Drosophila melanogaster: one gene and its partners. The protein of the gene in region 2 interacts with the protein of the main gene of each other region in a pairwise test. Each region holds a gene or a part of one and is shown on either strand. Other genes may lie near its edges.

Region 1 (4,681 bases), on a different chromosome or scaffold from region 2:
CGCGGGAGTTACCGCCACCGGTGGCCATCAGATCGTTGCTGCAATTGGTGCCCTGTCCGCCCGGACCCAAGCTGCCGTGCGTCGAGCTTAGCGCATGGTTGCTGTTGTTGTTCGTGGAGAAGCTTGTGTTGCTGTTACCGCCCAGCAAGCTACTTGGCGGTGGCGGCGCTATGGGCGTGGCACTGCTCCCGCTGGCCATGTCCAAGGCATTGGCACTCTGCTGCTGCTCCAGCTGGGCGTTCAGCTTGGCTGCGGAAACGGCTGCTGCCGCCGCTGCTGCTGCAGCTGCCGCTGCTGCAACGCTCATGTGCAGGCCGCTGCTTTCGGCGGCGGCCGCACTGTTCAGATGGCCGGAGGAGAGGGTGGCGCGGCTGTCCAGATGACTGCTGGCCACCTCGTCCTCGTCGTCATCATCCTCGTCCTCCTCCTCCCCCTCATCGTCGTAGGCAGCCGGTTCCTGTTGCTGCTGCGTATGCTGTTGCTGCAAGTTGTTGCTAGCCGGCATCACATGTCGCAGGTCCGTGGGCGTGAGATCATGCCCATTGCCCTGATGTTGCTGCTGCTGCTCCTGGTGCTGCTCCTCGTCATCCTCATCCTCGTCCTCCTCGCCCTCCTCCTCGTCGTCATCCTCGTCATCGTCGTGCTCTTGCTGCTGCTGCGACTGCAGATGATGATCGGCGCGATCACGTGACTTGGTGTTACCGTTATTGTTGTTGTTATTATTGTTGTTGTAGTGCTGCTGCTTGTTGCCGTTGTGCAGCGCACTAACTGCTGCTGCAACTACAGCTGCCGCTGCTGCAGCCCGTTGCTGCTGCTCCGCCGCCAATTGTTGTTGCTGCTGCTGTTGCTGCGACACATCCTGCTCCTCCTCCTCCTCTTCGTCCTCCTCCTCGTCGTCCTCTTCCTCTTCGTCCATGCTGCTCTGCGAGCTGCTGCTGCTGTGGCCATAGTTATTGTTGTTGGCGTTGCTGTTAACGGAGTTAGCCCCATTGTTATTGTTGTTGTTGTTATTGTTGTTGCTACTGCTGCTCGTGCTGTGCGGCAGCTGACCCGCTGATCCCGCCGAATTGTTGCTGTTGTTACTGATGCTGAGCGCTGCTGCTGCAGCTGCTGCTGCGGCTGCCGTTGCAGCGGCGCGACTCAGGAACGGTGGGCGTGGCACGAGGGGAGTGTCGGAGTTATCGGAACTATCGTTAAAATCGAAAGCACTGAAGTCAGCGGCATTCGCGGCATTTGTTGCACCTGCTGCTGCTGGATTACCGCTACTTGTTTTGGACATGCTGCTGCCGACGCTAGCGTTGCTGCTGCTGCTGCTGCTGCTACTGCAGCTGCTGCTGCTGCTGCTGCTGCGACTGCAGCGTTTGCTGTTGTTCTTGTGATTGCTAGTGTTGTTGTTGCTGCTGCTAACTTGCCGCCGCTTGGTTGTTGTTGTTGTTGATGCTGCTGGTGCTGCAGTTGCAATTGGTGTTGCTGCTGTTAGTTTTAGTGTTGCCTTTGTTGCTTTTGCTGCGCTTTGCCGAACGCTGCTAAGTTTTTGCTATTTGTTGTTGTTGCTGCCGGCGCTGCTGCGACGCGAATGCTTGTTGTTGCTGGTGCTGCTGCTGTTGCTGCCGGGGCGGTCTGCCTCCGATTCCGCTTCAGATGGCGCCTTGCTCTGCCTCTGCTGCTGCTGTTGTTGTTGCTTCTGCTTCTGCTTCTTCTTCATTATTCACACACACAAGTCGCGCGTGCGACCCACTACACTTTTTGTTGTTGTTGGTGATGCTGTCGTTGTTGTCGTTGCTGTTGCATCGCTTTTACAAAGATTCTCGCTTTTCAGTTGTACACTGCAGGTTTCTGTATTTTGTTATTTTATTCGAGAAATAAAAAGCATACGTGTGAAGCAAAAAGGAAAAACTGAAAACTGACAGAGCTGTCACTGCCAACGTCGACGCAGACGCCGACTGCGACTGCGACAGCGACAGCGATGGAGGCGCTACGCGAGATATGTAGCAGTAAAAAAACCGTTCACCGAAAGCCACTCGCTGAAGTTTCTGTCCTTTCGCCGGGTGGCAACTCTGCCACTTTGATTTTTCTTGTTTTTAATATTTGTATTTTTTTAATAATGCCACCAGCACTTTTTTTTATTATGTATATTGGGAATGTTTACTTTATCGGCATTTTTTCGCTAGCCCGGTGGAATTTCTTTATTGGTAGTTATTGAATATTCAATAAGTCAAACAACATGGGATCTATCACTCGAACGTGTCGTTTAGAATCAATCTGCTTATTTTCGTGGCATATTCTTGGCTTGCGGTTGGGTTTTTGTGGCCAAGAGAGCTGCTTGTTATGAAAACTCAGACTCCAAACGCACACACACAGACACGCACACACAACGTTAGTTTGCGAATTTTTGAGAATTGTATTTCCACAATAGTCACGAAAAAAAAAAAACAAAAACAGAACAGTTTTTTTAGATTTTGACAAGTGACTTGCAAGCTGCCTGGATATTTTGTTGTTATTGTTGTGTTCGCTGTTTCAATAATTTCGTTACTATTTCTTTTTTTTGGAGGACGAGGGTGTGCGTGCAAGTGTATTGGTTTGACACCCAACGAAAGGACTAAAAAGAGAGTGGGAGAAAAGAGGGCGATAGAGAGAGAGAGAGAGCACGCGAGGCGGTGGCGGTTTTCGCCTTGTGCCAATACACGTTGAGTGACGAGGGGGACGGGGGGAGGTTGTGGGTGGTTTGGGTGGTGGGGGGTCGGCTGTGCTAGACGCCTCGCCTTCTTCTGCTCCTTGAGCCTTCTTGCTGGTAGCCTTTCTTACACACAGTTTTCCACGGCTTTTCACTCGAAAATAACTTGTTAAAAAAAAAATTGCACACTGTTGTTTTGCGATCTGGCACTTGTTTAATTATTTAACTGCTGCTCCTGTTGGCAATCCTTTTTCATTTTTTGCTTTCTTTTTTCCCTCTGCCTGTTCTTCTTGGGCTTTTGTCGTCCGCCGTTCGTGATTAGCGATTTCTCTGCGAGCGCTCATATGCCGTTACTCGCTGGTCGCGACGGAATGAAGGACTTTTTATTTATGTGTATGTCCTCGCCGCAGTCGCAACGGAAGGCAGCGACGCCGACAGAGACGGCGGCGCCGGCAGCGCCACTTCCTCCTCGGCTCTCCGTTGCGAAAAAGTCCTGCGAAGCCGCTAAAGCCCCCCAAACCCCAAAAATCACTCACACACACACACAATCAAGCGACTGGTTTACGGAGAGCCTTTCTCCCTCTTTCTCACTTACGCGCTTACTCGCTCTCTCTCTCGCTCAGTATCTCTCGGCCGCTCTCTCTCCCCTTCTCTCTCGCGCTCGCACTGTCGAAAAAGCTCCTCGCTGAAGTCGCGACTTCGACGTCGTGTCCTGTCGCTGTTTTTGATGTCGCGATTCCTTCTCGGTGTTCGTGTAAGCGTGTGTGGGGGTGTTCCTGCCCGTCCGCGTTTGCATGTGTGCGTGCACTCGCGAATTGAGATGACGACGACAGCAACAACAACGATAACCAGAACTCTGCTGGTTGGATATTAGTCGCGATTGCACTGTTAGAAAAAATTCGAAAAAAAAATTCCAAAAAGTTCCAAATTTGCTGAAGTGGCAACACTTAAATTTTAACAAAGAACCAGTAGTAATTTCGGATTCAGGGTCTAAATTCTTCTATGATATATTTTTATATTATGTTACGTATATGGAAACTAATTTTAAGCACCGCATTAATTAATGTTATACATTTAACTCTTACACAACCCAGTAATTTTTCGCAGTTTGAAAGGATTCAGAAGCGAGTGGCAGGAGCAAAGCGAATTGGCGCCACCCCCAAAAATCCATGCGAAGCCCGTGAGCGCCCGTGCCACTCCCACCAGTGGTCATAAATCGAATTTTTGTTTATGTGGTGGTAAGGCTGCTGCGAAGCAGTCGTTCGGCCGCCAACCTCCCCACACTCCCCGCCCCCCCTTCATCATTGACCATGGGCCACCCATCCGCCCACAATCGCACCCCGCTGAGTCTGCAGCCAACATCCTGTCATTCCAACAGTCGCGAACGCCGACGCAACGTCGCTGCCAGCGCCAATGGTTTACGGTTTGTTGTGTTTCGGTGCCACCAGCAGCAGTAGCAGTAGCAGCAGCAGCAGCAGCGGCAGCTTCAGCAGCGCCATCAAGGGGTGGTGGGTGGTAATGGTTGGCGATGGGCGGACGGATGGATGCAGCTCCTTGTTTCCGTGCCCGTGCGGGTGGTGGTGGTTCTGTCGACTGCGACGTCGATGCCTCGGCCGGCGTCGCTGCTTTGGCGGCCAGGCGCCTGCGTCGCTCTCGAATATCCTTCGAGCGCTCTCCCCGGTTCTCTCGAGCGCTCTTCTTGCGCCTGCTCCGCTCTCAACTCGCTGCTCCCCCGCCGTCGCGCCCACGCTCCCCCGCACTCTTTTATCGCCACTACTATTCCCCCCAAAGAGGACACGCTCCGCCTGAACGTATGCAGCGATTTTTTCCGTGCTGGGTTGTTGTTATTCTTCTCGCTGGGGGTTGAAATTCCTTGTGTGCCTGTCCTCCTTCTTTGTCGTGGTGTGCGTGTGCCAACGCGTGTGTGTGTGTGCCAGTGGACAAACAAAGTGTGCGACTGTGACGTCACTTGCGTCATGAGCAGGGCTGCAGTGCAAGAATAACAAA
Region 2 (3,455 bases):
GTATGCATTACTCACCTGCCCGGCATGGTGGTCAGAATGATCCAACGGATGACCACATAGTCCGCGTACAGAACTGCTCCGTAGGTGACTACCAAGCAGGCGATGCCACAGGGATCTCGGATAAAAACCATTGCTCTGCTGCCTGCGTCTTGTTGGACTGACCTGGGTGATATTGCCTCTCCGCCCCTTCTATTTAATTCAATTAGAAACCGAAGGGGCTGATGTTCCTAGCCCCCCTCCCCCTGAAAATCGAGGGCCGAAAAATAACAATTGTTGCTGTAGTTCCTCGGCTCGTCTGGCGACCACCGATCCACTGCTGGGCGGGATACGAGGCTCCTGGTGGCGGTCTCGTCGGCTGCCGCACTTTGCCCACTCACTGCTGGGTGCACGATTCACAAATCGAGCGTTTCATCGAAATTTTAGGGCTTATTTTACGCTTGAAATTGTCATTTATTTATTTAGGGTGACCGTTTGCGGGAAGCGCGAAAATATAGCATGGCCCACGAACTGGAACTAAGTAAGGCATGGGCTTAGAAAAATTAATTTAAAAGGGGTTAAATTAGAAAAAGGTAATTTAAGTAAGTTACTACCAATAGATTTTTATTTTTAAGCAGTTTTCAGATTTCAAAAATATACTCCAAACTTCATTAAATCTTATAAACCGTTTATTAAACATAAAAGTAAAATCTGAAATAAGTCGTTACACAATGCAAACTCGAAACCAGTCAATTTCTGGCCGTGTTCTCCTTGCCGCGCTCCCGTTTCTGCAGCTGCAGCTCCCTTTCGGCCATTCCCGCCTTCACCCAATAATGGGTCATCACATCCACCAAGGTGATGCGGCCCTTGCTTTCCTTGCGAAGCAGCTGCAAAGATGAAATCCCTGTTCAATAAATGGATCTCAAAGGAAACATCTTCCAACTCACCCCGCCAATCAATTCCTTGCAGCCCTTGGACAAATGCGATGGGTAGGAGATCTCCATGCGCCGGATCTTGCTGTAGGTGCTCTCCGTGCTGTTCGACTCGAAGGGCGGACAGCCGACGACGAACTCGTAGCACAGAATGCCCAGGCACCACTGGTCCACCGAGTCGTCGTAGGAGTTCCCATCCACCATCTCCGGCGGCAGATAGTCCAGGGTGCCGCACAGAGTCCTGCGCTTGTTGTTCGGCGTGTGCGCCGACCAACCAAAGTCGGCCAGCTTAAGGTCGTCCGTGCTGGTTAGCAGAATGTTCTCCGGCTTCAGATCCCGATGGATCACGTTGTTCAGGTGACAGTAGTTGAGGGCATTCGCCACTTGGTAGGTGTACTTCGCAGACCGCGGTTCATCGAATCGATGATTGGGTGCGCCACGCAGGTGCTTGAACAGCTCGCCCTCGGACGCAATTTCCAGGGCCAGATAGATGCGGCTCTCGTCGTGGAACCAAGTGAGCAGGCGCAGGATGTGCGGGTGCTTCAGTCGCGACTGGATCTCGATCTCGCGTAGAACCTGACGCTGCACGCAGCCCTTGCGCAGCTCCTCTTTGAACATCACCTTCATGGCCACCAGATAGTGCGAGTGGCGCTCCCGCGCCAAGTAGACACGTCCAAATTTGCCGCGTCCCAAGTGGGCGCCCATCTCAAAGTCCCGGGGACTCCAATCGTATCTGGAGGGAGCAGATTAAGTACGGATTGATACATTAGCTTATTGCTTGTACGTACGGCTGTCCGTATGCGTCGTGGGACATCATCTTGAGGCACATATTCTTGATCGGCTCCTGGTGCTCCTCGGGCACCTTGGCCAGCAGGTGCGGCAGGTGGTTGCGGTTGGCGTGCTTCGCGCGGGAAAGCGTCATGGCGCTGACTTGTTTATAATATTATGATTTTTAAGTAAATTAATTATTTTAAGTTGTATTTTCTATAAGCGTCCCTTTTGTTTGCGCGTTTTTTTCGAATGCTGAGATTAGTGTGACCGCATGCTAGAATCGAGTTATTCTGTGACTCTCAGTGAAGCAGTTAAGTCACTGTATTTTTAAATTCGGTCAACGTATAATAAAATATTTTCATGTTTCTTAAATAAAAATTAATCTTCTAGTTTTGTTCTTATATTGTGCATAGTTATTATAATATACGCTTCTCACCCGTAGGAGAATAGTTTGAGTGAAGGGCATAGAAAACTGTTTAATTATTATAAACCATAGCTACCAGTGCTCAAATCATATCAGATGTTTAATAGATTTATATTATTAGTTGTCTAAATTTATTTAAATATACAATATCAATAATATTTATATGTATATATAAATAAAAATGTTTTGCATAATATAAGTCTCGAATACCTCTAACTAACCATTGAAAATGAGCTGCAAAAAATCCTTTGGATTTCCCGACTATTCGCAATCTGGCCACACTCGCCATTAGTCATTTTTTACACAATAAACGTAAATTAAGCGAATTTGCAAGCGCTATTCGGAAGTTTTTAGGCTAATCGAAAAGATATAAGCAGCCCAAAAGAGATTTGGAAAAAAGCGAAAAGGTCTACGCAGGAGGAAGTACACCAAAAGCGTGCTTTCAGTCGCCGTGACGCACCGAAAATCGATTGGAGAGGAAAAACAATAGGGAAAACAGACAAAGATCAACTGATTTGGATTTATTGACCCCAGGGCAGCGCAGATTATTGGCAGATAGCCGAGCGAGCGGTTTGGTCATAAAGATGGGAATCTTTGGGCAGTCGTCGCCATTCGACGCCGACGTGGGTGAGTTACCACTTATCGTTAAGCTGTTGTGTTGGCCGATTGGACAAGCCGATGTTCCAATTGGACTGCACAACGGTCCAATATGCGTTTCATAGTTTTCTATTCTTATCTGGGGTCTAAAAACCCGCACACCACACCATTTTCCCCTGTTTTCCCTATGAACCCGATCCCCCGATTGAGCAGACAACAAAGAAAGTCATGTGAGATGCTGTGCGCAGCTCTGCGTCGTTCGTTGAACTTCTTATTGGAGTTGTTAGATGGCAGTCGCTGACCTTGAGTGACGTAGCACCCGCAGCCCCTCACACCCCCTCCGTTTACGCAGCCAACCCCCTCGCCATCCCTTAATGCAATTTAGTTAGTTTCCGATTGTATTGATTTTCTTTAGCTGCAATCAGTTTTCGAAGAAGCTTATCTTTGTTTTGCTGTGACTCAGAATATAAATTTCTATTTGACTGATAAGCTAATGCGGTTCATGCCTTTCTTGTTTTATAGAAAAGGCCACCAGCGAAACTAATACCAACGACAACTGGTCTCTGATTTTGGATGTATGCGACAAGGTAACGACCAATCCCCGCCTGGCCAAGGATTGCCTGAAGGCGGTGATGCGCCGCATGGGCCACACCGATCCTCATGTGGTGATGCAGGCGATTACGCTTTTGGACGCCCTGTCCAACAACTGCGGAAAACCGCTCCATTTGGAGGTGGCTTCACGGGATTTCGAGACG
Region 3 (4,184 bases), on a different chromosome or scaffold from region 2:
ACCAAAAGATTTGTATAGTAACTATAAATGCCCCAACAATACCCATTATGCATTGTAAAGAAGCGGTGTGTTGTCCACTTCGATGTACTCAGATATCAATGAATGTAAACATATTGATTACATAAAAACGTTCACTTAGTGCAGCAACTTGCGATAACCTACAAATGTATTTGTTAAATTAAATACTATATACATATATATTATATATATTTACGGATTGTATGTGTAATACGAATAATGCGCCCTGTTAAATGCAACAAGGAGATAGGGATCTCAGCAAATATACAAGTATAAATTAATCATTTAGAGTTCGTGTGCGTTATAAAACAAAAAGGTAGTGAAAGAAACATAAAACAAAATTTACTCATTTAAAACTTAATGATCGATTTAAATAGCGAACCCAGCCATAAAATCGGCTTGAACATTTGCGAAACACTATTGTAATAGATAAACTCCTCAAGCAAGATTCTCAACTGGACAGCCCCTCAAGAAATAATAATAAATACATATTTTTAAAAATTAACCCAAAATCACTAAGGTATTCTCTTTGCGTTAGTAGCAATATTTTTGCGTGTATTTAAAAGGTGACAAACATTTCATCTGAAAATGTACTCGGTACAATATCTTATCATCTAGTTTTTAAAAAACATTTTTTTTGTATTTCTTCTCCTTGCTTATTTTTGTAGTCGTTTCTTCTTTTGAAAACTCTGGAGCTAAATTAGGTCGTTGTTTGGTTTTCCACTCTTCTACAGTTAGATCACTCCACTGATTTATGCCCTTCTTGAAAGATTCCACTCCCAATTCGAACTGCTCATTGTGTTCCTGAATCGCTTTCCAATTGTCGCAAAATATAGTTCGGCGTTTTTCTGTTTCTTTTTCATCTTGATATTTCGCACCGAAATCAATCTGTAATAAAGATATATTCATTCAAATTCTCAAATTCTATTTACATTGCAAGCCAAATATTACCAAAAACTTTTTCCATGCTGCCTGACATGTATTATCATCCCTCTTATCCTTAGATATTTTTGTAGTAGCTTCAACTTTAGAAAACTCTGGATTAAAAGCAGGTCGTTGTTTGTTTTTCCACTCCTCAACGGTCAAATCACTCCACTGATTTATACCCTTCTTAAAAGAAATATTTCCCAAATCGAATTGAACATTGTGCTTATGTATCGACTTAAAGTTGTCGCAAAATACATTTCGTCGCTTTTCGGTTTCAGTATCATCTTGATAAGACGGCTTAAAGTCAATCTGCAATTGATAAAAGCAACTTTAATAAAAATTCTTTAAATACCCAACCATATCTTACCAGGAACTTCTCCCAAGCCGGCTGGCATATGATATTATCATTATCTATTTCGGATGTAGATGTAGTGGCTTCTTCCTTACGAATCTCGGGAGCAGGACTAGATCGTTCCTCAATAGTATGATCAGTCCACTGATTTATGTCCCTCTTGAAGGGCTCTGCCCACTTTTCATACTGCACATTGTGCTCCACAATCGCCCTCCAGTTTGCACAAAATACATTGCGGCGTTTCTCGGTTTCATTTGCATTCTTATACTGCGCTCCAAAGTCAATCTGTAATTCATATCATACATATTAATACCAAGTTGGTTTTAATAACCTAGCTAATCTTACCAAAAACTTTTCCCATGCAGCCTGGCAATTGACTTTGTCTCGCTCCTCCTTTGATGATTCACTAGCGATTTCTGGCATAACTTTGGGAGTTTGTTTCTCTTTCCACTCTTCAAAGGTAAGATCACTCCACTGGTTGATACCCTTCTTGAAGCTGACAACTCCCAAATCGTATTTCAAATTGTGATCGCGAACTTTTTGCCAATTTTCGCAGAATATATCACGTCGCTTTTGCCGTTCGTAGTCATTATCGTAGTGTACATCAAAGTCGACCTTGGAGTGTATACAAATAACTTCCTTGAACGATACCCTTTCTTGGAATTATGCGATCAAAAAACTTACCAAGAACCTTTGCCATGCAAACTGGCATTCCTCCTCGAACTCAGATAAGCCAGAGGTGTGTTCAATTGTGGGTGTCGATGAGTCAGCGTCGCTTTTCCCAGTAGTAACCCCAATCTCTGGATTGATTTTTTGTGTAGCAGGTGATGATGTGCTTACTGGTACGCCCAGAGCCACGCCCATCAAATACAGGAGCAGTGGGACGCCAAGTAAAATTCGAGCTGAGGTCATCTTGAACACTTTTCTCGTACTGCGCTCCGCACTGCCAGAATCGCGAATTATATGGGGAATACATACATATATAATTGCAAGTACTCAAAATCAGCTGCATTCAGAGAGAAATCTAAATAAAAACCGACAACGAGAGCGATTTCTTTTGCTCTCTTTTCTCTTAAGTGTTGATCTTTTAAAAGAGTAACTGCATTTACGTGACCTTGCCCACCAAATATATAACAACTGGCATAATTGCTTTATGATTTGTTGCAATAGTATTGAATTAAATTAATTTGAAATTTAAGCCCCGTTTTTATACCCATTACTCGGCGGGAATACTAGGCTCGTTGATAGGAATGTAACAACTACATTCTAGATATGTATGTGTTTTCCACACAAATGCTGTAAACAAACGTTACGCTGCTTGCAGCTTTTTCTGATTAACGGGTATGCATTAGTCGTGACACCCGACTGTAGCGTTATTTCTTGTTTATATTAAATTTGTCGCAAATTTACACGGTTATACGGTTATGTGTGCATTGTTCATTTTCTATCCACTTTGCCAAATTGAAATTTATTACTTTCTCAAACAACTTCCCACACAGCGTTGTTCTTCATTAAGAAAATGTTTCTCAAAAAATAAATAAGACCGAAAATTAATTTTTGTGTGCATAGCCGTTAAGACTACGATCCAATTTCTCAGAATTTCCCCAGAAAGCAACACAAACCGATAAGGCACTTGTTTCATTTATTAACCGCGTGACTCATGGAATCGATGTGGTGACCCACACAGCTTACGACTACAGTAACAAAGTTATAAATTCGTGGTTTTTAATTGACTATACTATCTAACTAATTGCATGGCGCAGTTGTGAGCCTACAGAATGGGGTAGCTGCACTCGCTGGCGATGCCGCAGAATCCACCTGCATTCCGGAGGATGCGCATAAAGCCGCCCTCGCCCCAATTCTGAGAGTACGAGTTCTTGATGATCCAGTAGTCGCGTCCATTTTCCGTTCCATAGCCCACCACGGTTACCGAGTGATTCAGTTCGCCCTGATTGCACTCCTCGTCCTCGTAGATGCCACCGCTGTACTGCTCAAACGAAATGGTGTCCGCGTTCATGGAGCACGCCAACGGTCCCAACGTGGCAATCACCTCCTTCATCTTCTCCTCATCCCCGGGAGTAATGGTGGCATAATCGCGAATTTTCACCAGACTCTCGCGCGGTGGACGTCCGGCGGTTTCGTTCTGACGGCACTGCATCTCCGTCTGTGTGTACGGATATTTGTTGGCCAGCGTTACACCGTGATCGCGTATGTACTCGAAACCGTACTCCTGGAAGCCACCGTCACAGCCCATGTTGCCGTAGTCATCGGCACAGTCCACCAGATTCTGCTGCGACAGCGAGGCCAGCACTCCAGTCCGCCGGAATAGATGTCCTTCGAGCGCTCCTGTGGTGGCGAACGACCAGCAGGCACCGCATCCCACACCCTGGAATCCCGGTGGCGTCACTCCGCCCTTCTCGCGCCAATCGAACATCTCGGGAAGATTGGCACTCGCCGGATTCCTGGCAGTCACAAAGTTGATATGGCCATTCGTATATCTCCTGCAAGGTAAGTAAAACATTTTAGTATTCCGTTAAGCAAAGATTAAAGCAAATTAGTAGCTTACTTAAGTGGCAACCAGACTACATTTAAATGTTATTCATAATGTTCTTAAATGTATGACAAACAACCGATAAGTTATGAAACATTTGTTATGGAGCTTCGTCGTAATAAATAAGTTCGATATGGAAGGGTTTTGTTTGTTTCCACCCATTTGGTTATAGTTTTCGGGAAACCACAAACCTATGGTCGGAATATTTGATCAATTCTGATTTCTTGATTAGCATAACCGGGAAACCAATCGGCACCTACGTAACGTTACAAATCATATGGACGACGATACCGAAACCCGTTTGAAAGTTATAAGCTGGGTGATAATTCGTTTATG

What was found.
Region 1: the proteins of aurB (region 2) and CG43347 interact in a two-hybrid assay, tested with the Drosophila melanogaster proteins (one large-scale study listed by BioGRID).
Region 3: the proteins of aurB (region 2) and CG6357 interact in a two-hybrid assay, tested with the Drosophila melanogaster proteins (one large-scale study listed by BioGRID).

The regions. Positions count from the first base shown.
Region 1 is NC_004354.4:10,617,161-10,621,841, forward strand, and holds the start of CG43347 (uncharacterized protein), read right to left. Parts: upstream 3,031-4,681; 5' UTR 2,806-3,030; intron 1,837-2,805; exon of another isoform or gene 1,827-1,836; 5' UTR 1,706-1,826; coding exon 1,573-1,705; intron 1,450-1,572; coding exon 1-1,449.
Region 2 is NT_033779.5:10,856,148-10,859,602, forward strand, and holds aurB (aurora B), read right to left. Parts: upstream 1,948-3,455; 5' UTR 1,831-1,947; coding exon 1,697-1,830; intron 1,642-1,696; coding exon 924-1,641; intron 864-923; coding exon 726-863; 3' UTR 650-725; downstream 1-649. Other genes in the region: Dnz1 (DNZDHHC/NEW1 zinc finger protein 11), read right to left, coding at 16-131; Stam (signal transducing adaptor molecule), read left to right, coding at 2,688-2,730, 3,223-3,455. UniProt on the Drosophila melanogaster protein: Serine/threonine-protein kinase that mediates both meiotic and mitotic chromosome segregation. Required for histone H3 'Ser-10' phosphorylation. Phosphorylates mei-S332 within residues 124-126 and stabilizes its association with centromeres during meiosis.
Region 3 is NT_033778.4:13,838,103-13,842,286, reverse strand, and holds CG6357 (uncharacterized protein), read right to left. Parts: upstream 2,235-4,184; 5' UTR 2,210-2,234; coding exon 1,982-2,209; intron 1,913-1,981; coding exon 1,643-1,912; intron 1,583-1,642; coding exon 1,313-1,582; intron 1,255-1,312; coding exon 970-1,254; intron 907-969; coding exon 640-906; 3' UTR 544-639; downstream 1-543. Other genes in the region: CtsL2 (cathepsin L2), read right to left, coding at 3,069-3,798.